2 linked regions of the Arabidopsis thaliana genome follow. The protein of the gene in region 1 interacts with the protein of each later gene in a pairwise test. Each region holds a gene or a part of one and is shown on either strand. Other genes may lie near its edges. The genes, in order: AT5G61865 and HSBP.

Region 1 (11,338 bases):
CGCCTACTCATCAAGACCAAGGTATATATATACATGCTCATATCGATCTTTGAATCTTTTTTGGTTGAAACAATGTTAGGATATATTGAAATTATGTGCAAATTTCATATCAGAAGTAAATCTCAAACTTAAAAGGTTATTATTATACTGTTTATTTCAATACTCATTTACCAAAAGAAAAAACGATTAGGCTATTACCAAAATGTAATTTTTAACATGGAGATTTTGTTGGTAGTATATGGTTTCAGCACCAATATTAGGTGACGATATATATTTATACACATAAACTATGAGCATATACAAAGTTTACATACTATGCACATGTATGAGTAGACCATACCAAAGATTTTCTGATTTCAACTTTTGTGATTTCAATAAAGGGGACTTGAGGAGGAGACATTATAGAGGTGTAAGGCAAAGGCCATGGGGAAAGTGGGCAGCTGAAATCCGAGACCCAAAAAAGGCGGCACGTGTGTGGCTCGGGACATTTGAAACCGCTGAATCTGCGGCCTTAGCTTATGATGAAGCAGCCCTAAAGTTCAAAGGAAGCAAAGCAAAACTCAATTTCCCGGAGAGGGTTCAGCTTGGAAGTAACTCTACATATTACTCCTCCAACCAAATTCCACAAATGGAACCACAAAGTATACCGAACTATAATCAATACTATCATGATGCGAGTAGTGGTGATATGCTAAGTTTTAATTTGGGCGGTGGGTATGGGAGTGGTACCGGATATTCAATGTCTCATGATAATAGTACTACGACTGCTGCTACAACTTCTTCGTCTTCTGGTGGCTCTTCTAGGCAACAAGAAGAGCAAGATTATGCCAGATTCTGGCGCTTTGGGGATTCTTCTTCCTCTCCTCATTCGGGATATTAATTAGGAGATTTGATCAGTTACTTGTGATGAAGTAATGATACATTTCCCGTCAAAATTGAGATGATCATATGCTTCCTGAATGTTTTTGAGTGTCATTTTTGTCTTCCGCGTTAAGATTTATTGAACGTGTTTTCTTGTTTTTTTGGTTAATATCTTGGAGGTTTTTGGCTCCTACATACATGACAACATAACATCACCGATTCGAACTTCAACGCACGATAAAATGCATTAGATAGTTGATATACATTATACAGATTGCAAATATAGAGTATCGATTATGGTGCAATTAAATACCATAAAGAAAACTACGTTCCGTTGATGTTTGACCAGTCTTTAACGCAATACTAATGTAGTCTACTTTCATACCATCGATAGTGTAATATTTAGTTGACTTTAAAAGTCTTTCTAAATCAGCATTAATTGTAGTGTGTGGATCACGAAATTCGGCGGTCGACAATTCGACATAAAATATATAAAAAGCTTCATTCTCGTTTGGATCGGCTTAGACGTGTAATAGACATCGATTCAACTTTGCTAAACGCTCTTAAACCCACTTGAAGTCTTGGACTTGGACTTCAAAGTCAGACACCACTTGGTTTAGTAGCTACTAGCTAGTGCAACTCTATCAATTTAGTTGACTATCAAATAAAATACAGAAGTATTCCACTAAATCCAAAGTGTATTTGAATCTACATGACTAAAATCGTAAAAAGTATAACTAAAGATGTATAATTATGAAAAAAAAAAAAAAAAAAAAAAAATTGCAAGTCCTATTTTTTCGTAGACTAATAGGAACGTGTTCGTTTTATCTACGATTTTGTTGGTGATCAATATATTTGGTAATTAAAATGAAGTAGACGGATTTTTCAAACTCAGATAATTCAATAGACATGCTAGAATTCAACTAGTTTACCTAAGAACTAGAAAAGTCAATATTATTAAACAAAATAACAAGACTTTTAACAACGCCGGTGAGTCGGTTACTGGCAGCATTCCGGCCATCACCGACCTTGTCTCAATTTCAACTTTTGCGGCTATCTCCACTCAATTTCAAACTTCTGTCCTAAAACTATAACTTGTATCAAAAGATATGTTCCTGATTTGCTCCTATTGTTTTATTGCTTGTTCATGCGCTTGTTGTTGTACTCTTCTGGTATGCAGTCTCTAAGCATTCCTTAGCTCTATGGACCTTAGATTGGAGATAGAAGCTTCCATTCTGCGCATTGCGTTCGAACAACGTGTCGTATTTCTACAAACATAACATATAATCTCAATGAGAATAAGGGTCTCTTTTTTCAATCAGCAGTAGAAACTAGAAACTATAAACCGCTATTCGCGTTTGCACAGCCAGCCCGGGGTGAAGTGTGAAGACAAACCTTAAGAATCTCGTCCCAAGATGATTTCTCAGTTACACCAAGAATCTGTCTAGCTTCTGCTTCACCTATAGTCAACCCTCTCTTAATAGTCTGTGTCGCTTCATGCGCAACCCCGGTTTTTGATGCATCTGTAAACCATTCCAAACAATGTTTATCAACAATTTCGCAAAGTAACTTACACTTACACACACACAATACAACGAATCTTTGATAAATTCATTCTTGCCCAGAAAGAAAACAAGAACATTGTAATTAAAAGACATACTTGCAAGCGCCTGACGATATGCCTGAGTACAAGCCCTGGCTATGATTCCAGAGCCCATCACAATCACACTTGCCAAAACTCTTGCAGCCTTGCACACAAATGCTCAAGAAATTTCAATACACGTTAATCAATCACTGAGAACAATTTCTTGTTGAAAGATACACTAATAAAAAAGAAAATTTCCTATGCAACAATATTCAATCAAAAACCAGCTCAACTTAAGGATCTCTACAAATAACCAAGGTCATGGAGAAGCAACAGTTCTCAATATTTTAGTGATGATTTCACTTGTAAATTTTTATGAGCTTCTAAGAAATTTCAATAAAATTGGCTCTAATCAGAAAAAAAGTGTGGACTTTGAAACTAGAGAAACAATCGGTCGGGAAATTACACATACCATTGTCAGAGATTACTCAGACCGATGATTGGAGACTTCGACCGATATAATACCTGAAATGTAAGTACGGTTTAAGATTTCTCGTAACCGAATACTGAAAAGAAAAACACGACGTAGGATTCGAAACAGAGACAAGTCGAGTGTAATGAAGATAATCGATTTTGAGAACCTTACGAGGAAAACAAGAGACGGTAATACGTTTATGATTTTTTTTTGGAGTCGAGGAGCTAGGAATTTGACGACCACGGTGATCCACCCAGTTCTGCGTTCTATGACGGAGGCGGAGAGAGAAACTCAGAGTTTCAGGTGATATCATCAACAAGAACCCTAACCGACGTCGGAAGATGATTTGGGCCTACATGTAAAAAGTTAAGCCCACTATTTATAAAACGTGGGTATTGAAGTACAACCCCCAAGTTTTTCAAGAAATTCTATTTTGGCCCCACTATTTATTTTTTGAAGATTAATTAAACTTTGATCATCCCAACTTTTCATTCGAAAACTCTTGCATAGGTTGATACAATGTATCCAGTAACATAACAGATTAGATGGTTCGATTTATGCAATGTAGTTAGAAATATAATGTTTGTATGTATCATTGTGTTTATTAGAAGTTAAGTTGGTTAATCATTATAGTCACCAGGATTAGCTAGGGTCCATAGTTATACAAAACAAAGGTTTCGGTGCAACTCTAACAAAGACGTTTTGTTTCTGACTGTTGAAACACCATCTCAAGAAATTACCAAGACTTATTAAAGTGTAACTAATGACAAGATAAACGAGTATTTTATTTAAGGTGCTTAAGTGTTAAAGAAGCTACTGGATCTCATTGTTTTTCAAAGCGTAGTGAAGATAGATTCTGATGCAATGAGTGAGACGTGTGCTTTAGTTTACTTACCTCCAGGTTACTGTTCTAGCAGACGGTGACAAACCAAGTGGGATCAAAGCATCAGGGCGTGCGGTTTGAGAACTTAACAGTGCTTGGCTCCTAGTCCTTCGGCGATTGTACACCAATGTCTTCTGCTTTGTGTCTGATTGTCTGATGAGTTCTTTAGGTCCCATTGGACTCTCTGGCTCTTGTTGCTTTCTCCTTTTGCTCAGTAGTTCCCAAAGTAGTTTCTCTTCGTGTTCTCGGCTTCCCTCTGTGCCTATACGCTACATGGACAAAAGGATGAAACAAAAACCCTTTTAGCGCTTACTTAATCATTTGAGCTTTCACAAACAAAACTCATTATCGAAATTTTACCTTGCCGGTAATAGAATGTTCAGCTTGTTTCTTCTGACTCGCGGGTAGAAGAAATTTGGCAGATGTTGTCATCCTCTGAACTTGATCTTCAGCTTTTTTCAGCTTTGATAAAGCGTTGATCTTTGTCTCTTCTGCAAGTCTAATCCTTTCTCTAGCATCTTGTAGCTCTCTCCTTGTATCTGAGTTTGATCTCTCCATCTCATTCACTACATTCATCAGTTGCACACAAGGGCCATGCTTTATTTCAGCAGCCAAGTTGCCTACGTACTTGGTCATCGGGTGACACATATTCTTTGCTAAAGCCTGCATAAAATCATTGACTCCAGTATCTACTGAACCAAGCACCTCGTTGATGTTATTAAATAGTACGCGAAGGAGCTTCACTGTGACAGGGAAAGTGTCATGGTTTTGGCTGTGAACCGAGCTTAGGTAATAAAGAGACTTCTGGATGAATTCTTGGAAGAAGGTTCTACGATCGTCAACCATCTGCAGAATATCTTCCCGATGTGAATTCACCTGTGTTTCAATGTGCTTAAGCATATGAACTAACTGTCTCAGCTGCCCCTTATGCTTGTGCAAGATCTCTTTCCCCGCTGTTTCGGCTTTAGCAGCATAGTTTTCTTCCTACAAAATCATGATACTTCAAATGAACTTCTGAGGAAGAAATCCACTCAAAGTAGGCAGAATTATATATTTAACTGCAAGCTCCAAACCCACATGAAGGTACAAATGGTTTTCCAAACAGCTTTGTGATGCAATTGATTAAAATTTGAAACAGAAAGTGTAGAGAAGACAGCATCTAAACTATATTCCCTATTGGTTCTCATTAATCTATAGCAGAACTAGCCAAACATTAATAACGAATCACCAGAATGAAACTTGACTAGGCACATCACAGTTTCATGATCATATTTATTAGTCTGCATTCACTCTATACCAGAATTAGGTATACATGTATAAGGAATCACCAAACTAAAACTTGACTAGACGCTTTACAGTTTCAGGATCACATTGTTTGGTTTCACATTCAATATCTAGTAAAATTAGTCATACTAAATAGGCAATCACCAAAGTGAAGCTTGACAAGACCCGTTACAATTTCAGAATCATATTGCTTTTTTCGCATCACATCTATAGTAGAACAAGGGATACACATATACAGAATCATCAGAATGACACTTGCCTAGACACATAACAGTTTCAGAATCATATCAATTGGTTCACGTTCAGTCTTCATTATAACTAGGCATACATATGTTATAAGAATCATGATGTATACTACTATACTACCTTTGAACTGCGAATTTGAATGTTCAGATCACCAGACCGTGCAGTATCCATATGATGATACCTTTCCTGATGAAAATTAGAGTAATGATCTGAAAATTTGCAATTTCATGATTCTACAAGAAGATGATTGATATCACTCACAGTATTGAAAATAAAGGCGGAGTGTCTCCCTTCACTCTCCATCTCCGACGTTTTCAGCCCAACCAACTTCATCAAAGGGATCGCCAGAGAATCGAAAACTTCACCTGCCTTTAAATTATCAAATTCTCTATCAAATTCGTTGCAACACCCACAATTGTTCAAATTAAGCTTGAAACTACCAATTTAAAGAGTACGCAACACTCGGAATCGTTCAAATCAAGCTCGAATCTACCAAACCAGATAATAGGATTACCTCTCTCAAATTCGTTTGAATCAAGCTTAGATCTACTTAGAAATCGAATCTAACAAACTAGAGAAGAGCATTTATCTTTACTTCGACAAGGCCGAACGCGATCTGCGATTGGAGTTGATGGTACGCCATTTTCACTTTCTTGGTGCGATCGACCAGTGTCGCGAGCTTATCTCGGAGATCTGGCGCCGATACTGCTGCAGCACTTTCCTCCGCCGTGTATTGCGCCGGAGAGGCCTGGAATCTCCGTGGATAAAACGCTCTTGGCGGGAACTCCATTGTAGGAGGAAATCAGTTATCACACAAGTCCGAAGAGAAATGGATTCGAATTTCAAACAGTCGTTTCTCAAATTCTCTTTTGTTTTCTTCGTTTGCAATTTCTGACACACAAGTTTATATATCCACGGCCCATCTATTTGTCTCAAACCAGGCCCATATATTTGTCTCAAACTGGCCCATTATTGATTAATTATACTGATGACACCTTCACAGTTCTTTCTCGATGTATGAATGGTTATTTTCAGTGCTCTTAACTCAAATGTATCTTAGTACTTTTGAGTTTGACCAAATTGGTTTTAAAATCCGTTAACGCATTAAGAAAACTGCGTGTATAACAAATTAGCCATAACAAATTAAAGGTTTTGACAAAAAAAGAAAAATAAATTAGCCAAGAAGACTAAATTAAAGACTAATAGTTAATTAGGATAACGACTAAACAAACCACAACTACCCAAACCAAACTAGAAACGCAAGTCGTCGCCGCCGCATCCACCACGTCCAGACGTCGACGATCCGGTACAGCTAATACCGCCAACTAAAGCCGCAGCCGCAGCAACCGCATTGTTCCGCTCCAAATGGCAAAGCTGACGCAGCTTTGTTGGAACATACCAAATAGAGAGACGAGGATGAGCGTTAAAGACGGCGTCTATATCCCAGCCATGACGACAAGCGATGTTCACAAGTGGCTTGTAACAAGCCTGACGCCATGAGCCAACGTTCTCACCGCGTTCTTTAAACGCTCTTCTGAGAGCATTTGAAGCTTCTTCGTCTAGGCAGTGGAGAGCGTAACAGTGAACGTAGTGTCGCATTTTAGGCTTGTTTATGTAACTCGCTCCTGATTTCTTCGCGTACCTGAATACTTGGTTCGTCACCTATTTACACATTTTCCCCAACATCAATATAATCAAACAAATCATTTATCATGAGATATATAGTAGGAAAAATGAAACCTAATAAGTTTGGTTTTAATTCGGTAAACAATGATTAAAAAAAAATGCCTACCAAAATTATAACCGTAGTTGTTAGATATTTTTTATAACCCTTGTTAGACTTGACACTTAACTAAACCCAAAAAATTAGATAACAAAAAGGTTTTTGATAAAAACAACACAATAATCAAAATATTGGAACCAATAACAAATTTAGAAAGAAAACAAATAAATTAGATTTTCTTAGTAACGTGCGTCTGTACAAGCAATGGCACAGAGCTCATGGATTCTGTACTATCATCACTAGAGGAAAGAGGACCCTCTATTATCCGCCGAGCAATAGACTGTAACTAGATATAATAATATATACATACAACAAATATCCCTATTAATTGTCAAAAAGTCTAATAATATCTATGTGTACTATGTGTGAATGCATGCAAAAATTTGTATATCGTATCTAACTATCTCATGTCGTTATAGCCAAAAACAAAGAAACAACTATGTCCTTTCCCTAACTCGACACGTTGTCGTACGTTTACTGTCAAAATTGAAATTGAAATCTAACTATATTTATGCTGAAGACAGTATGAAAACAAAATGAAAAATTTAATAAATTAGAACCTAAATTTTGTTGCGAGACATAGCAAAAAAAAATAAAAAATTGAAAACCCTGAGAAATCGTGATTTGTCAAACTTGCTTTTAGAACAGCTGTCCATGATTATAGCTATAGTTCCCCTACCATACCCCATAACTTCCGACACCATTTTTTAAACTTTTGTTTGAAACATAAATTTCAAGATAATGAACGGTCAGGATTAGTTCTTAGAAGATAAATCAAAAGATACCTTGGTGGGGCATTTTTCGCCACGGTCTTTAGCAATTGTCTGGACCTGAAGAAGGAACTCACGGCATTGTTCGTACAAGTGGAACAGATAATCTAAGCCGTTCTTTTTGCCACGTGCCACTTCCCCAGGCTCCGTTACGATAAACGGATGCTCCCTCTGTCTCTCTGTCCCCAAACCACTACCTCCGTTGCCGTTATCCATCCCGTCGTCATCCTCACCTTCGTTGACGTCTTCGTCGGTTTCCACTGACGTCAGCATTGGTTTCTTTCTCCGTCTCTGCTGCTGTTGCTTCTTCATCTTTCCTTGACCTGCGTCCCAGTAACCACTTCCTCCTCCGCCGTTATTCCCCGCCGCATCAGTCTGGTCTTGTTGCTGCACCGGTTCCTCAGATAACCCTGTCCAATCATCTACATATAAATTGTCACAATCACAAAAAATTATTCAAGTTTAGGCGTATATACTCTTTGAATTCCTGTACATGACATTAATCCTCGTACTTCTTGCACTAGGTCTATTTAATAAATATCAGACTATGACTGCATACTCTATACACACAGTAGCTCTAAATCAATATCATACAAGTAAATATATCCAACATATAAATTAAATATGACATATATTATCTTGTATTATGTAACAAAAGCTTAACCAATATATTTAACCAAAAAAAAAGCTTAAACATAAAATTATGTAGCAACTACTATACATATGGTAAGATTCATAAATTAGTTATCTATATTAGTCACGTGAACATATACATACTTTTTCTTGAAAGTCGGGCATAGAAATGTTGAGAACAATATATACACATATTTATAAAACGTGCGATATTTGATATTTCTATATGTATTCATAATTATTGTACCTTCTTGGGAGAGAGCATCAAGAGCGTGATGAGTACCGGAATCACCAGCGGCGGAGAGTAGCAAATGACGGCGTCTAGAAGATTCCTCTTCCTCCTCTTCTTGCAATCGTCTCCGTTCAGCTCTAACGGCAGCTTTGATACCGTACCGTTCACCAACAAGAAGCTCCCAACGAAAGATATGAGAGAGACTATTCATCATCTCTTCAAGCTCCTCGTCCTTCATACCCACAAGCGTGCTCGCCGTAAAACCTAACTCCGCTATCTTCGCCGCCGTGTAGAAACGTATACCGTACGGACCGAATAGTCCCTCTAAACCACCAAGTCGCATCCCAAAAGCAGCCGTCTGCGGTGTCACCGGCTGTTGCTGCAGCGGAGGTGGAACCGGAGGTGGTGCTTGAACCAATGCTCTCGTTGGGTTCCACCGGAATAAGCCACTCGTGAAACCTTCAGGATCCATAATCTATTTTTCTCTCTCTCTCTATCACTCTCTTTTTCTCTCTTTCTTTACTCTTTTGAGCAGATTGCTTTATTGTAAAAATGACCACTCGAGCAACTTCTATATATACAACAGTAAAGAATCTAGAAAATAAATACTAGGTTTTTGTATATTCTTTTTTTATATCGCTATTTTTGCAATAAAGCATTTATGTGTAGATGTAATGTGATGTAAAAGAAGATATGTGTCTTGCTGGGAAATTGACAGTTGGGACTTAACAAGTCAAACTTTTTCTTTCATCGACATTCTTTTTCTCTACTCTGATTATGACCATTCATAATTTGACACGTAGGAATATAAAATGATTAGGGTTTTCACTGTGGTGATTCTCTTCTTTATGCATATTAATATTTACTGTGATGATCCTATCTTTTTGATGTTTTGTTCAAGTATTAATATTTACTGTGATGATCCTCTGTTTTTGATGTTTTGTTCAAGCTGTGTTATTTGTTTTAATTTCATCCTCGGGGGTTTTTTTTTTTTGGGGGGTCTCATTGTTTGTACCATGAGAGCACGATCAAACGGAACCATTCCACCATTTGGTTAGATTTCTTGAACATTTAACCATCTAAAAGTATAAAAAAAAAAATCTACAAATACATTTATGACAAAAATATTTGTTACGATAGATTGATTATTGATAGATTGCTGATATCGTTTAACTATCTTAAGATACATGGCCAACCTACGTCTTTTTCAATTTTAATATCCTTTCCAATCTTCTTATAAGTTCTAGGTACGAATGGAAAGTTGGCAATACTGGCTATATTAAGCTATGATAATCTGTAAGTCATATATGATATATAGAAATACGTAAAAATTTGTATTATGTAAACTTTAACTGTATTGGCATGGACGCATGGTACCATGCACAATCTTTGCAGAAGCCCGATAAGTTACTAAAATTATATTCCCCTATGATTCATATAACTTAAGGGAATCCATTATCCATAATTCCATATATGTCTATCTAAATAAGCTTTGGAAGTATTGTTAGGGGAAGATAAATTTTGTATGATAAGAAATATCAGCACTCTGAGTCTGAGATTGTTAATCTACTATATATAGCCACAAGTTGTTCTTTTGCTTTAAATAAACATAAGCTAATAAATGAAACCTTTATCTATCTGCGTTTTAGGAAACATTAATTGATAAATGCAGTGTGAAAACTCCAGAAGGAGAGGAGGTCAGGTGTGTTTCGGTCTAATCTCTTCAACTATCTCTTACGTGTTGTCATCTCCCTGATTTGTAATTACCCCTATTGCCCTAGTACACATATATTTTTTTTAGTCGTTAAGAAAATCAGAAAACCGAATCAATTTGATAAGTTACATTTCTATATATATTCACCCATCTAAAAATTTTTTTTTTGGTAATGTCAAATTTATTAAATAACAGAAAGAACTTACAAATTAAAGTGGGGAAAAAAGCAATGGTTATTTTGTTATTTTTATATGTTGGAACTAAAAATACAAATTAAAGTGTGGGATTGGACATATGGGTTACGTAAACTTTGTGACTAAACAGTGAAAAAAAAGAATGATGTGAAAATATATAAAAAATTATAACATTGGAATTGAGCCGATAAAAAACTTTAATGTTGGAAAGGTAGCCAATGAGGAAACGACAGGTCAAATCGAAGTTCTGAGAGACTGGCATTCTTAATGCTCTCAGTCTGTTTTATTTTGACTGTCTCACTCCCTCAGTTTCCTCTTACCTTTTCTTTGTCCTTTCTCTCATTTAGTTTATTATTAATCTTTAACATTACAAGTTTACAACATATAAATTCATTACTATTATATATCATCATCTTCATCATTGCGAGTAGCGGCTCGTACTCTTGATACTGTTTTCACCACTGTTATTTAACTGTTGGAGTTTTAGAATCTTGAAAAGACTGAATAATCTGTTCTAAAGCCTCCTATTACTACCCTATTTTCTCAGTATCATTTTCACATTAAAGAAAAACAACTCAAAAGTGACTTAATTCAGCTATTTATTACTGTTTCAAAATTCAATATACCGGATAAACAAGACCGAACTACACTTTGCAGTTACAAAAGTTTACAACTAGG
Region 2 (10,341 bases), on another chromosome or scaffold:
AGTCAAATCTTCTGATCAAGCGGTTTTTCTCAAGTCTTGATTTCGTTTTATGTAGGAATTGAATGAATCAAGGGCTGAGTTACTAAACAGGATCCAGAATCTGAAACAGGTTTTAACACTTTCATTCTCATCTCTGACATTGTCATGTTGTTTTAGAACATCTGTTGTCTTTTTAAAACAAACCAATCTTTATATCTTATCGTCGCAGGACTTGCAAAGTTGGAGAGGTAAATTGGACACTCAAGTTAAAGTCTACCGTGAGGTGAGTTCCATATCTAGTCCTCTTTATCCATTTTGTGGTATCAAGCAAGAGAATTGCTGTTTTAGCCGGGATCAGTTTGAACTGTTTTGACATTCGATGTATACTCTTCCTTGGTTTTTTACAGGAGCTCTCTGGGCTAAAGAAGACTCTGAATCTTGAAGTTGAGCAGCTTCGTGAGGTATGTATGTATATTGAGCCAGCAGCCACATGAATATTTAAACGGTTTCTATTCATGATACATGTTTGATTCGTTTTGTCTCCATAAAAACTAGGAATTCAAAGATCTGAAAACTACCTTGAATCAACAGCAAGATGATGTTTCCGCTAGCCTGAAAAGCTTAGGCGTGAGTCTCTCGTGATACACTCTTCTTCCTAAAAGTATTTTCAATATTATAACCCAAAGAAAAGACCGGTTTTTAGACTTGCAGAAACTAATCTATGGTTCTCCTCCACGATTATCTGTTTTGTGCTTTGCAGCTACAAGATTCAAAAGAGCAAATTGATAAGAGAAGTGAGGTGACAGAAGAGAAAGTGGAAGCTCTATCGACTGATGATAATGCCAAAGAAGCAGAACATTAGATAATATGAAATTGTTTGTTCTTATGATATTCTCGCCACTACTGTTACCACTACCTTGAGATTGTACTAGTATGCTTAATATGTAGTTCCGCGGTTTAGTTGATTCTAATGATGCACCATGACACAATGGTTTGCTGCAGATTGATATGTCAACAAGTTGATACAGAACCAACTCGTGTACAGATCTCAAAACCGAGCTTCCTCCTCTGTTCTTGACACCATGATAGAGTGAAATTGTGAAATGAAGCTCCCAAATCAGATATTCAGAAATTTCCATAAACCAATGAACAAACCGGTTTGGTCTAGAATACAAAACCAACCTATTTCGAATAATTCGTTGATCATAATTTGCATTCTCCAAATTCAAAGAACATAGAAGCTTTTAATTTTAATAAATCGATCAATCAATGAACCAACAACCAAGCTTTTTTTATATATATATATATTCATCTTATTTCTTTTCATTCCTTTTTTTTTGGGGGGCAAAATTCTTTTCATTCATTCAAAATTTATCAATTCCACTAATTTCAAATTCGAGCCTTATATAAAATTTCTTTCATTTAGTTGGTAGCATATTCAAGTAAAATGCGTCACATATAATATTGTCATTCATCTCTTATCCTAATTTAATAAAAAATAAAAAGTCAAAAACGAAAATTTAGACTTTAGTGGGAAAAGCGCGTTAAACAACTTTTAGTGTCAAGTGGCATAAATCGTAAATAATATAAATCCTAGTGGCAATTTCAATAACTCATTCTCTTTTAAACCATTTCTTTCTCTTTCTTCAATAAAACTTTTGAAACCTCCAAAAAAAAAAACCTCAGAGAAAGAAGAAGAAAGAAACAATGAGAGGACTCTCCACAAAACCCGTTGCGATAATCATCGCAATTCTCACCGTCCACTTCTTATTCGCCGCCGTAACCTCCCAATCCTCCGGCGATTTCGTACCGATCGAGTCGAAATGCAACGGTACCATCGCCGAGTGCTCCTTATCCACGGCGGAGGAAGAGTTCGAGATGGACTCTGAGATCAACAGGCGTATTTTAGCAACAACGAAGTATATAAGCTACGGTGCGCTGAGGAGAAACACAGTTCCTTGCTCACGACGCGGCGCATCTTACTACAATTGCCGACGTGGAGCTCAGGCTAATCCTTACTCTCGTGGCTGTAGCGCTATTACTCGTTGCAGGCGATAATCTCTTTCTCTATGTACTTTAAAATTTTTACTCTCAAATTCTTTTGTTTTGATTTTTATACAATTTTTCAGATTATTATTTGTTTTGATTGGTGTTTACTATGTTTATACTTTGCATTGCAATATAGTTTCATACAGTCTCAATATAAGTTTGATATATGAACAGAAATATATATAGATGTATTATACATTTCTGATTAATATATCAAATGTTATGTATGGGTGCTTTTTGCATGTGCTGAAGAAAAAACCAGGTGTTCATATTGGAATTTATATGGATATTAAAATTGTAGTTGTTTCATTTTTTTTTGTATGAAGGGAAATATTTGTATGATTGGGGAAGAAATCAAATTTGGTATTTTCCTTATTTTATCGGGTTGAATAATGAGATAGTGTATTAAGAGAAATAGTATTAAATGTGGAGAAGTGGGAAAATAAGAGAAGAGGCAATAATTGGTATTTGGTTGGGGCCAACTAAAGGGGCAGCTTCACATGGCAAATACTTTCGCCAGAAACCACACACACGTGGCGTATTTATTACGTTTTTTTCTTCTTCTTATAATCTTATGTATTCGATTCATTTATTTAAAACTAATACAAATTACATTAAAGTCTATCAGCAATATGTCAAAAGAATCTGAGTCATGGAGCCACTTGGAGGAGAAAAATTGTCAAAACTCAAAAGAGAAGAAAACGTTACACAATGTAAAGATGATGAGAAAAGAAAATAGGGGGAAGACACTAAATTTACTCCCCATAATTAGAGGGAGGCTGATTTGGAGAAAAAATAGTCAAAACAAAATAACAAAGCATTGATATTCGAAGATACACTTTATTTGCTCCTCCGGGGTCCTCAAGGGGCTTTGTCACAGAGAAATAAAAACCAAAGTTTTGGAGAAAAGGGGTTTTGGACCGCAAACTCATACCTCATGACAAGCATAAACCAACTCATCACCAGTTGTTTATTGATTTATTCGATAATGATAGTCTTGTGACTACTTTTCTATCTAGTGTGTTTCTTTGAAACCTTGCAATTTTCAACATTTTAAACAACTTTTGTTTTTAGTTGTAAACGCAGGCTAAACATATCCTCTTTGAAAATATATTCACATTGGGCAAAAATAGACTGTTAAAAAATTTCTACCGACCTTTTTCATGTAAACACAAATGCGAAATAATCAAAGCCTAATACAGCTATGAGATTCGATTTTGATAAATCGATCAGTCTAACTATGGCTCCTATACTTTAACCTTTTCTAAATTCAAAATCTGAAAAAATAAAACCGGAATCAAACCCAAAAATGGAACAATGAACTTGGTTTGTCTATTCCCCCTGATAAGTTGCGTTTAAGTATCGACAGTAATATGAATTATAGGAGCATAAGAAGACTTCTTAGTTCTCTCAAGACCAAAATAGAAATGCAATTCATAGGTGGAGAATAATGTAATGCACCACATCATCAATCTATTTGATGAACTTTAATAAACAACAAACTCGTTTCTTAAAACAGGAATTTTAAAAGTAATACTGCCTGCTCTTAACATATTTCATAGTTTTTCTTTTTCCTTCGGACATGTCAATGAACACCACATTCCTTTTTAAGAGGAACTAGCCGGTGTTTTGGGTTCATCGCCTGATTTGGAGGCTGGAGGAGGAGTGCCTTCTACTCCCATCTCGGCTCTTAGATCATTGATGCTTTGCTCCAGCTCATTGATTCTGCCTCCCATGTCATCAAGTGAACCATCAAATCAAAATCAAAGTCAAGGAGATCAAAACCAATGTCATGAACACAAGATTGCTGATCAAAGAGTTACCACAGATTACAAACTTGTATCAGTTCATGGTGATAAAGTTGCTTTTGTTTAGAATATATAGCGAGCAGAAGAACAAGCATGCATATAATAGCAACTTAACAAGAGAAAATACCATAGAACCATGTGCTACTACCCATAGAATAGACATTTAGACTCTCAAGAAATACTTTAATCAGAAAAATAGACAGATTCTAATGATAATTCTCAATACCTAGTACTAAACTTCTTTCCTTGAAGACACAAATAATCAATCATCATTACTGGTTCTAGGAGGGAAACATTTCATATATTCTACTTCAAGCAACACTCAAGTAAAACCACAGATTGATATAAGGATATTCTTTGTGATGATGGAGTCCGACATTGTCTGGAACCTGGTTTGCTGAAACACACAAATGTGACCAAATTTAATCAAAATCTACCTATTGAAGGTATAATTCCAAGGCCTACGAAGACATAAAAGCTGAAAAACCTACCATCTGCTGGAGAAGATTTTGGACCTGCATATAAAAATTCAAGGATTCAGTGATAAACCAAGTGAAATTGTCTCAAAGTCACAAAAATACCAAACAAAGAGAACGAGAATACTCACAAAAGCAGTCATATCAGCAGTGCTCTGCTTAGTATCCTCAGAATCATGACCATCCTGTCAGCAAAAGAAAAAAAAAACTGTAAGAAGAAACTCAAAGACACAGTAAATATAACAATCATCAGGACAAGAAATTGAAGCTTTATACTAACGAAAAAAAATTGTTACAAGGAAAGAAACAAGCATGAACTATTGCCCATTGAGAATATTTCTATCTGAACTTTCTTAGTACTACTAGCATTACACACAGCAAACTCGATACATGAACATTTCTAAGTAAGAAAAAGGACGAAAAAGTTAACTTATACTGAATCTCCCCATCAGATCCTGGACTTCACGATACTAGAGTTCTTGAAAAGCCGAATTCACAAGTTCAAAATCCACAGATGAAAACAGAAAATCGAGCAAATGCAAAATCTTATTGTAACCCAGCAAAAGATGCTCTAAATCGTCCAGATTTCACTATAAACTCAACATTTCGATAATTGATCTACAATAACAGAACAACCATAAGAATATCATGCGAGATTCCCACTAAACCGTAAAAAAACCTAATCCGAAGATATATCCTTAAATGCAATCGACAAATCCGAATAAACGAGCCTAGGTTTCGTGAACGAAAACGCAAAATCGAAAAAGCGCAATGATATTAGGAGGCGGATATTTACCATTTTTAGGGTTTTCTTGCGAGTGATCGGAAAACTGGAGAAATTTTGATTTCAGCGAAAAGCGATGAGAGACGACGGAGGAGAAGAGTGATGCGATGTTTATAAAACGAGAAGAGAAACGCTGTTACTGTTAACCCCAACCTTATAGGTATACAATGTCCAAAATGCCCCCTCTTTACTTTAGTTTCTATCGTTATGATTCGATTGGGTGGGATCATGTGTGTGTGATTCAAATTTCAAATATTTTTATGTACGTTTGGTATTGAGATCTAGATCTTAGGATGATTCAAATCATTATTGTGGATGTTCAAATCTGCAAACATTTATTTGTAATCATCTTATTTGTAAATTTGGCTTAACTTTTTGTTCCTCTTGATGATTAAAGGCAGACCAATTCGAATTGTGTTGTATAACGACTTATCTCACTAATGGCATAAACCCTGACACATTGATGACTGAAGTATGTAGATTTGGAACAGCCTATTTGTTTCTTACCATCAATAGATATATTAACGAGGTTGTTGAACACTATCATGATTTTACAAGAGAAATGAAACACATGATTTATATAATTATATGATTACAACCAAAAGACATACATAAGCATCTTATCTCCATGTGAGAGATTCTAATCCTCCACAACCCAATAGAGGAAGAAGTAACAAACCTGACCACAAGACAATCAGGAGACAAGTGAAATGTTGCTTATCCTCACACCATTGGTATTTGATATAGTTAATTTTCGTGTATTATCAATGGAATACAAAAGACACGACGATCACATCTGATATGTTACAACTTCTACAACAAGAGCAAATTCCAATTTTAAATATCTTTTCCAGAAGTGAATACGGATATCAACATAGGAACCAAACCTAAAACAGACATGGAGCCTCTCATCCTCACCAAGATCTTCCCTTCTTCTTGTACATTTCTTCTACAGTCTCGGCTTCCAATGGAAAACCCTGCGTGCACATCAGATGTATCTAGATAGATACCGAACCTTTTTGTTGCTTGGAATCCAAGTCTTCCTCTTCTGGTTCTTACACGACCAAGTACAGTTCCTTTTTCATGTTGTCTCTCCACGTCTTCTGATTCTTGATTCTCCACGAGAAGTGTTTCTTGCTCGAGACATTCTTGACTCTGTTCGTCCCATATAATTTCAGGGTAAGAATCCAGTAATTTCCTTTTCTTCTCCTCCAAATCATCATGTGAATGAGAAGTGTGCCCTGAGTTAAGTAACACATTCCACAAGGAACAGAATAGAGTGAAAGAGCTAAGCTGGGAGCCAAAGACACCGGCCTTTTCTACATCGGTATTCTGCTTTTGCAAAGAACCGGCTTTAGACCGGATCTTAACTGAGCAACATAAGATCAGCAAGTTCAATCTCCAATCCGAACATGTAGATTCGCTGCTTTTGTTTGCGGAGAAGAAGCTCATGTTGTTCTCTGCCAGAACAATTCCTAGGCATCTTGCTCTGGTCTATACAGCTTAACTCTGGAACTGCTTGTCTGATTGATTGATGCATAAGAGAAGATCTCTGAGAAATAAACTCCTTGTAGCTTAAAGAATCTACAACATCGGAAGCTGCATGAGTTAGAACCACGATAGCATTTTTCCATATTGACGAGCCCAGGGAACTGGTGATGATTTTAAGTAAACGGATGTCTGGAGTGTCATCTAGACGGTCAATATAGAGGTGATATCAACTGGGAACTTTCTCATGCTTTTCTTTATTGACATAAGGACTTCCTGATTAAACTGTTCCTCAGTTGCAGAGGACAAGAGTCCTGGCGTATCAAGTATACTTATCTGGATTCCTCCTACATTCCCAACAACATAATTTGCAGAGTTAGTGGTAACTCCAAATGCACCAACAGCAGATTTAGTCTCCCCAAAAATAGAATTAACCGTTGCACTTTTTCCCACCCCAGTTTTCCCGATAACAAGGACGTTAATGGAGAAGTCTAGATCAGCTGGAAACTCTTGTTCAGGCAGCACTATCTTTGTTCCGTCAAACATGTGATCAAGCCCTAAGGACGTTGGATGTTCTCCACCAGCTAGGCTCATCTTAGACGCAACTTTAGTAACAGTTGAATTTTCACGGCTAAGACATGTTCTTCTTATAATCCTCTGGAGCTTTTCCTTCAAGAGCTGAGTCTTCTCAACTCTTTCCTTCACTCTCTCACTTATCAGCTCCACAGAATGATTAGAGGATAATAGTTCTGAAGAATTCTGGAAACTGGATCCAGTGAGTTTCTCACTTGTATCACCTGTTCCTTCGTACTCGTCAAGCTCCATAAAAGTGTGATTATGAATCAGCCGTGCCATCGTCTCATTTTCCATTATATCATAAGCAATTACGGAAGAGTTTTCAGGCATGGTCCTCTCAATGTCTTTAACCGAAAGCAAACTGGTTTCTTCTATGCCCACTGAGATTTGGTTTGCTTCGCTATCAGACTGAAAATTGACCTGCTTATTAATTGATTCCCATCTTCCACAGTCTCATTGGCTGTTTCAAAGGAACTTATTAAACTTGATGCTCTATCTTCATCAGGAAGTGACAACTTCCTATCAGTATCGTCTGATTCTTGATTTCCTTCATTTTCAGATTCTTCTTCAGCTTTTTGATCGGAAGAACCACAACCAATTACAACGACATCTATTCCTCCAGCGACCTCAAGGTTCATTATCATTTCAGAATCTGAAGTTGGAGTTAACTGAAAACTTTCAGAACTCATACCAATTTCAGGTTCATCCGCGCACTCAAGTTTTTCTAATTCGCTAACAGCACCACGATCATTTTCACAGTGTTCTTCTGCCTTGCCTATCATATTTCCAGCGTCTTTATCCCCTGAGTCTCTGCTTTCTGATCCAATAGACTCGTCACGTGGAATTATCAATTCATCTGCATCACAGACACTACCAACATCAGTTCTGTTATTGCTCTCCTTGCTGGTACTAGCTTGACCCACCCCTTGTTCGACAAGGCTGCTTACAGTTTCATCTAATCCTTTATCCTCATCAACAGCGTTTCCTTCACTTTCCACCAGAAACTCCTTGCATTCACCTGTCATAACACCAAGACTACTCTCAAAAGACACTAACACATTGTCAGAAGATTTCTCTTGTACCATAACTTCCTCTATGGATACAAGTTCACCTATATTAGAACCTGCGTATTCTGGTTTATCATTCATTCCCATTTTTGCTAATTCAACTGCACTATCTTCTACTCTTTCTACATCACTTGGCTTCATCAATGCGTCAAATTCATGAATGCTACCACCACTATCCTCCTTGTTGATGGTACTTTTACTATCCCCTTTCTCGATGAGTTGCTTGAAATTTTGACCCAATTCTATACTCGCCTCACTAGAGTTCCCTTCATTTTCTGCCATAAAATCACTAGAACCTTCTGGTGGAACACCGAGACTTGATTCTTCAATATTCCCAAAGGACATCAAACCATCATCTAATTTATCTGAATAGTTCATTCTCACCTCTTCAGAATCAACATCACCTATAAAAGAATCCGAACACTCTGGTTCATAACCACTCCCTTATCTCCAAACTGCGACCCTCTATCTTCAACTTCAGCTTCTTCATCACCTGGAGCCTTAGTTACACCCAACAGCACAGCCTCTTCATCATACTACCCAAAATTTCATCAAACTCATCATCATCCAAAGACAAAACAGCCCGAGGAATGACTACTTTTGCTTTCATACTACCTCTTTCATCTCCACTAACTTCACTCTCGCAAACCTCATCACTGTTCTCACCATCTTCCTCCCAAAGACGAGTAATTCACCGACGTTTCCTCGTCAACATCACCTGCAAATGGTCTATAAATCCCACTCCCACCTGAAATTCACTTCCATCTCCACCTAACTCTTCCCCTAGTAGCCTATCTACCCTAACCCCATCCAAAACCACATCCTCTAACACAGTCTCATCTTCATCAGTCTCAAAATCAAGTCCATTACTATAACTACTAGCTTCACTACTTGCTGAGTTATGTTCATCAGTTACAGTACCAGTATCATCATCATCCTCATCAATTGTAACAGGTGCACGAATTGGAACAGAACCAGCAGATGAAAACGAACCCAGAGAGAGTACGCGTGAGAAGAAACGAATCAGCTCTTGCCGCCGCAATCGCTCTCACCGCAGAAATTGAAACGCGAGGTTTCTCCGAATCGACCGTTGCTGCAGCGAGAATTGAAACAATCCCAGGCTTCTCCGATTCCATAAAACCAAAAGCTTCCAAATATACAAAAGATGTATTTTGTAGTTTTCTGTTTGTCTTTAACAGTATTTTTAGGGTTTAATTAGGATTTATGTGAAGCTTTTGTGGCTATGGAAGTGATAGTGTGGAAGACGAAACAACCACAGAGAAGAGTGAGAGCGATGATGCTACATAACAGGCGGCTCAAGACAAAATTAAAGATTTTGCATAATCATTCACTTTTGGGGTCAATATTGAAACTTTCAAATTTGAAAGAGGAATATACGAATATTTTAAAATGTTTGGGGCTTATTTGTTATTACTATTTTTTTTTTTTTTTTTTTTTCAATGTGGCTAATAAGAAACTCTCAGTCTCAGTGGCTGACCATCCCCGCCGTAGCCATGGCAGTTTTCCGATGCGCCGTCTTTTTATCTCCTTCGAGTTTCCTTCCGTCGTACTCCACCGGAAGGAGAGTTTCTGTAAAAGTTATCCGGTGTTCTTCGGCTTCGATTCCGTTCTGTCGAAGTCATCAAAAGGAAAATTACCTGCGACCCAAAATCCTTAGAACCCTAAATCCAAAGCTCAAGAGACAGTCATAATCGGAATCGAAACGCCGGAAAATGATCCTTCAAGCGACGTAGTTTCTGATGTAGAGGAGATTCAGGTCTTAAGTAGCTCGGTTGTGTCAAATGAGGTAAATGGTATATCAACTAAGATCTCTCCGAAGTTAGTAGCGAAGTATGGATTGTGGTTGATCGGAATATTCGCTTTTCAAACTGTTTGTGCTGTTTTGTTTCTGGGAGACTCAACGAAATCCGAGAAAACGCCGGAAGTTTCAAGTGATAGTGAGGGTAACAATTTGGTTTTGCTAGAGGATGTTGAAATGAATGAGAAGATTGCAGAGATCAGAATGATGGCACGTGAAGCACGTAAAAGTGAGGGTAAGCAAGAAGAAGATGATGAAACTGGGATTGATATTGAGAAAGAGATAGAAGCAAGAT

What was found.
Region 2: the proteins of AT5G61865 (region 1) and HSBP interact in a two-hybrid assay, tested with the Arabidopsis thaliana proteins (one large-scale study listed by BioGRID).

The regions. Positions count from the first base shown.
Region 1 is NC_003076.8:24,842,181-24,853,518, reverse strand, and holds AT5G61865 (uncharacterized protein), read right to left. Parts: upstream 6,210-11,338; 5' UTR 6,125-6,209; coding exon 5,930-6,124; intron 5,704-5,929; coding exon 5,596-5,703; intron 5,521-5,595; coding exon 5,455-5,520; intron 4,789-5,454; coding exon 4,165-4,788; intron 4,074-4,164; coding exon 3,813-4,073; 3' UTR 3,401-3,812; downstream 1-3,400. Other genes in the region: AT5G61890 (Integrase-type DNA-binding superfamily protein), read left to right, coding at 1-21, 381-880; AT5G61880 (Protein Transporter, Pam16), read right to left, coding at 2,007-2,129, 2,257-2,384, 2,522-2,609, 2,919-2,921; LFY (floral meristem identity control protein LEAFY (LFY)), read right to left, coding at 6,586-6,996, 7,903-8,309, 8,768-9,224.
Region 2 is NC_003075.7:8,983,229-8,993,569, forward strand, and holds HSBP (heat shock factor binding protein), read right to left. Parts: upstream 5,434-10,341; 5' UTR 5,112-5,433; coding exon 5,109-5,111; intron 4,498-5,108; coding exon 4,444-4,497; intron 4,352-4,443; coding exon 4,328-4,351; intron 4,234-4,327; coding exon 4,191-4,233; intron 3,773-4,190; coding exon 3,636-3,772; 3' UTR 3,370-3,635; downstream 1-3,369. Other genes in the region: AT4G15790 (uveal autoantigen with coiled-coil/ankyrin), read left to right, coding at 56-262, 387-440, 535-606, 740-841; RALFL33 (ralf-like 33), read left to right, coding at 1,687-2,037; AT4G15810 (P-loop containing nucleoside triphosphate hydrolases superfamily protein), read right to left, coding at 5,934-6,585, 6,850-7,494, 7,581-8,631, 8,765-8,867, 8,946-9,121, 9,234-9,363; AT4G15820 (ABC subfamily C protein), read left to right, coding at 9,742-9,819, 9,906-10,341. UniProt on the Arabidopsis thaliana protein: Negative regulator of the heat shock (HS) response. Affects negatively HSFA1B DNA-binding capacity in vitro. Involved in acquired thermotolerance but not basal thermotolerance. Crucial for seed development, after fertilization and during embryogenesis.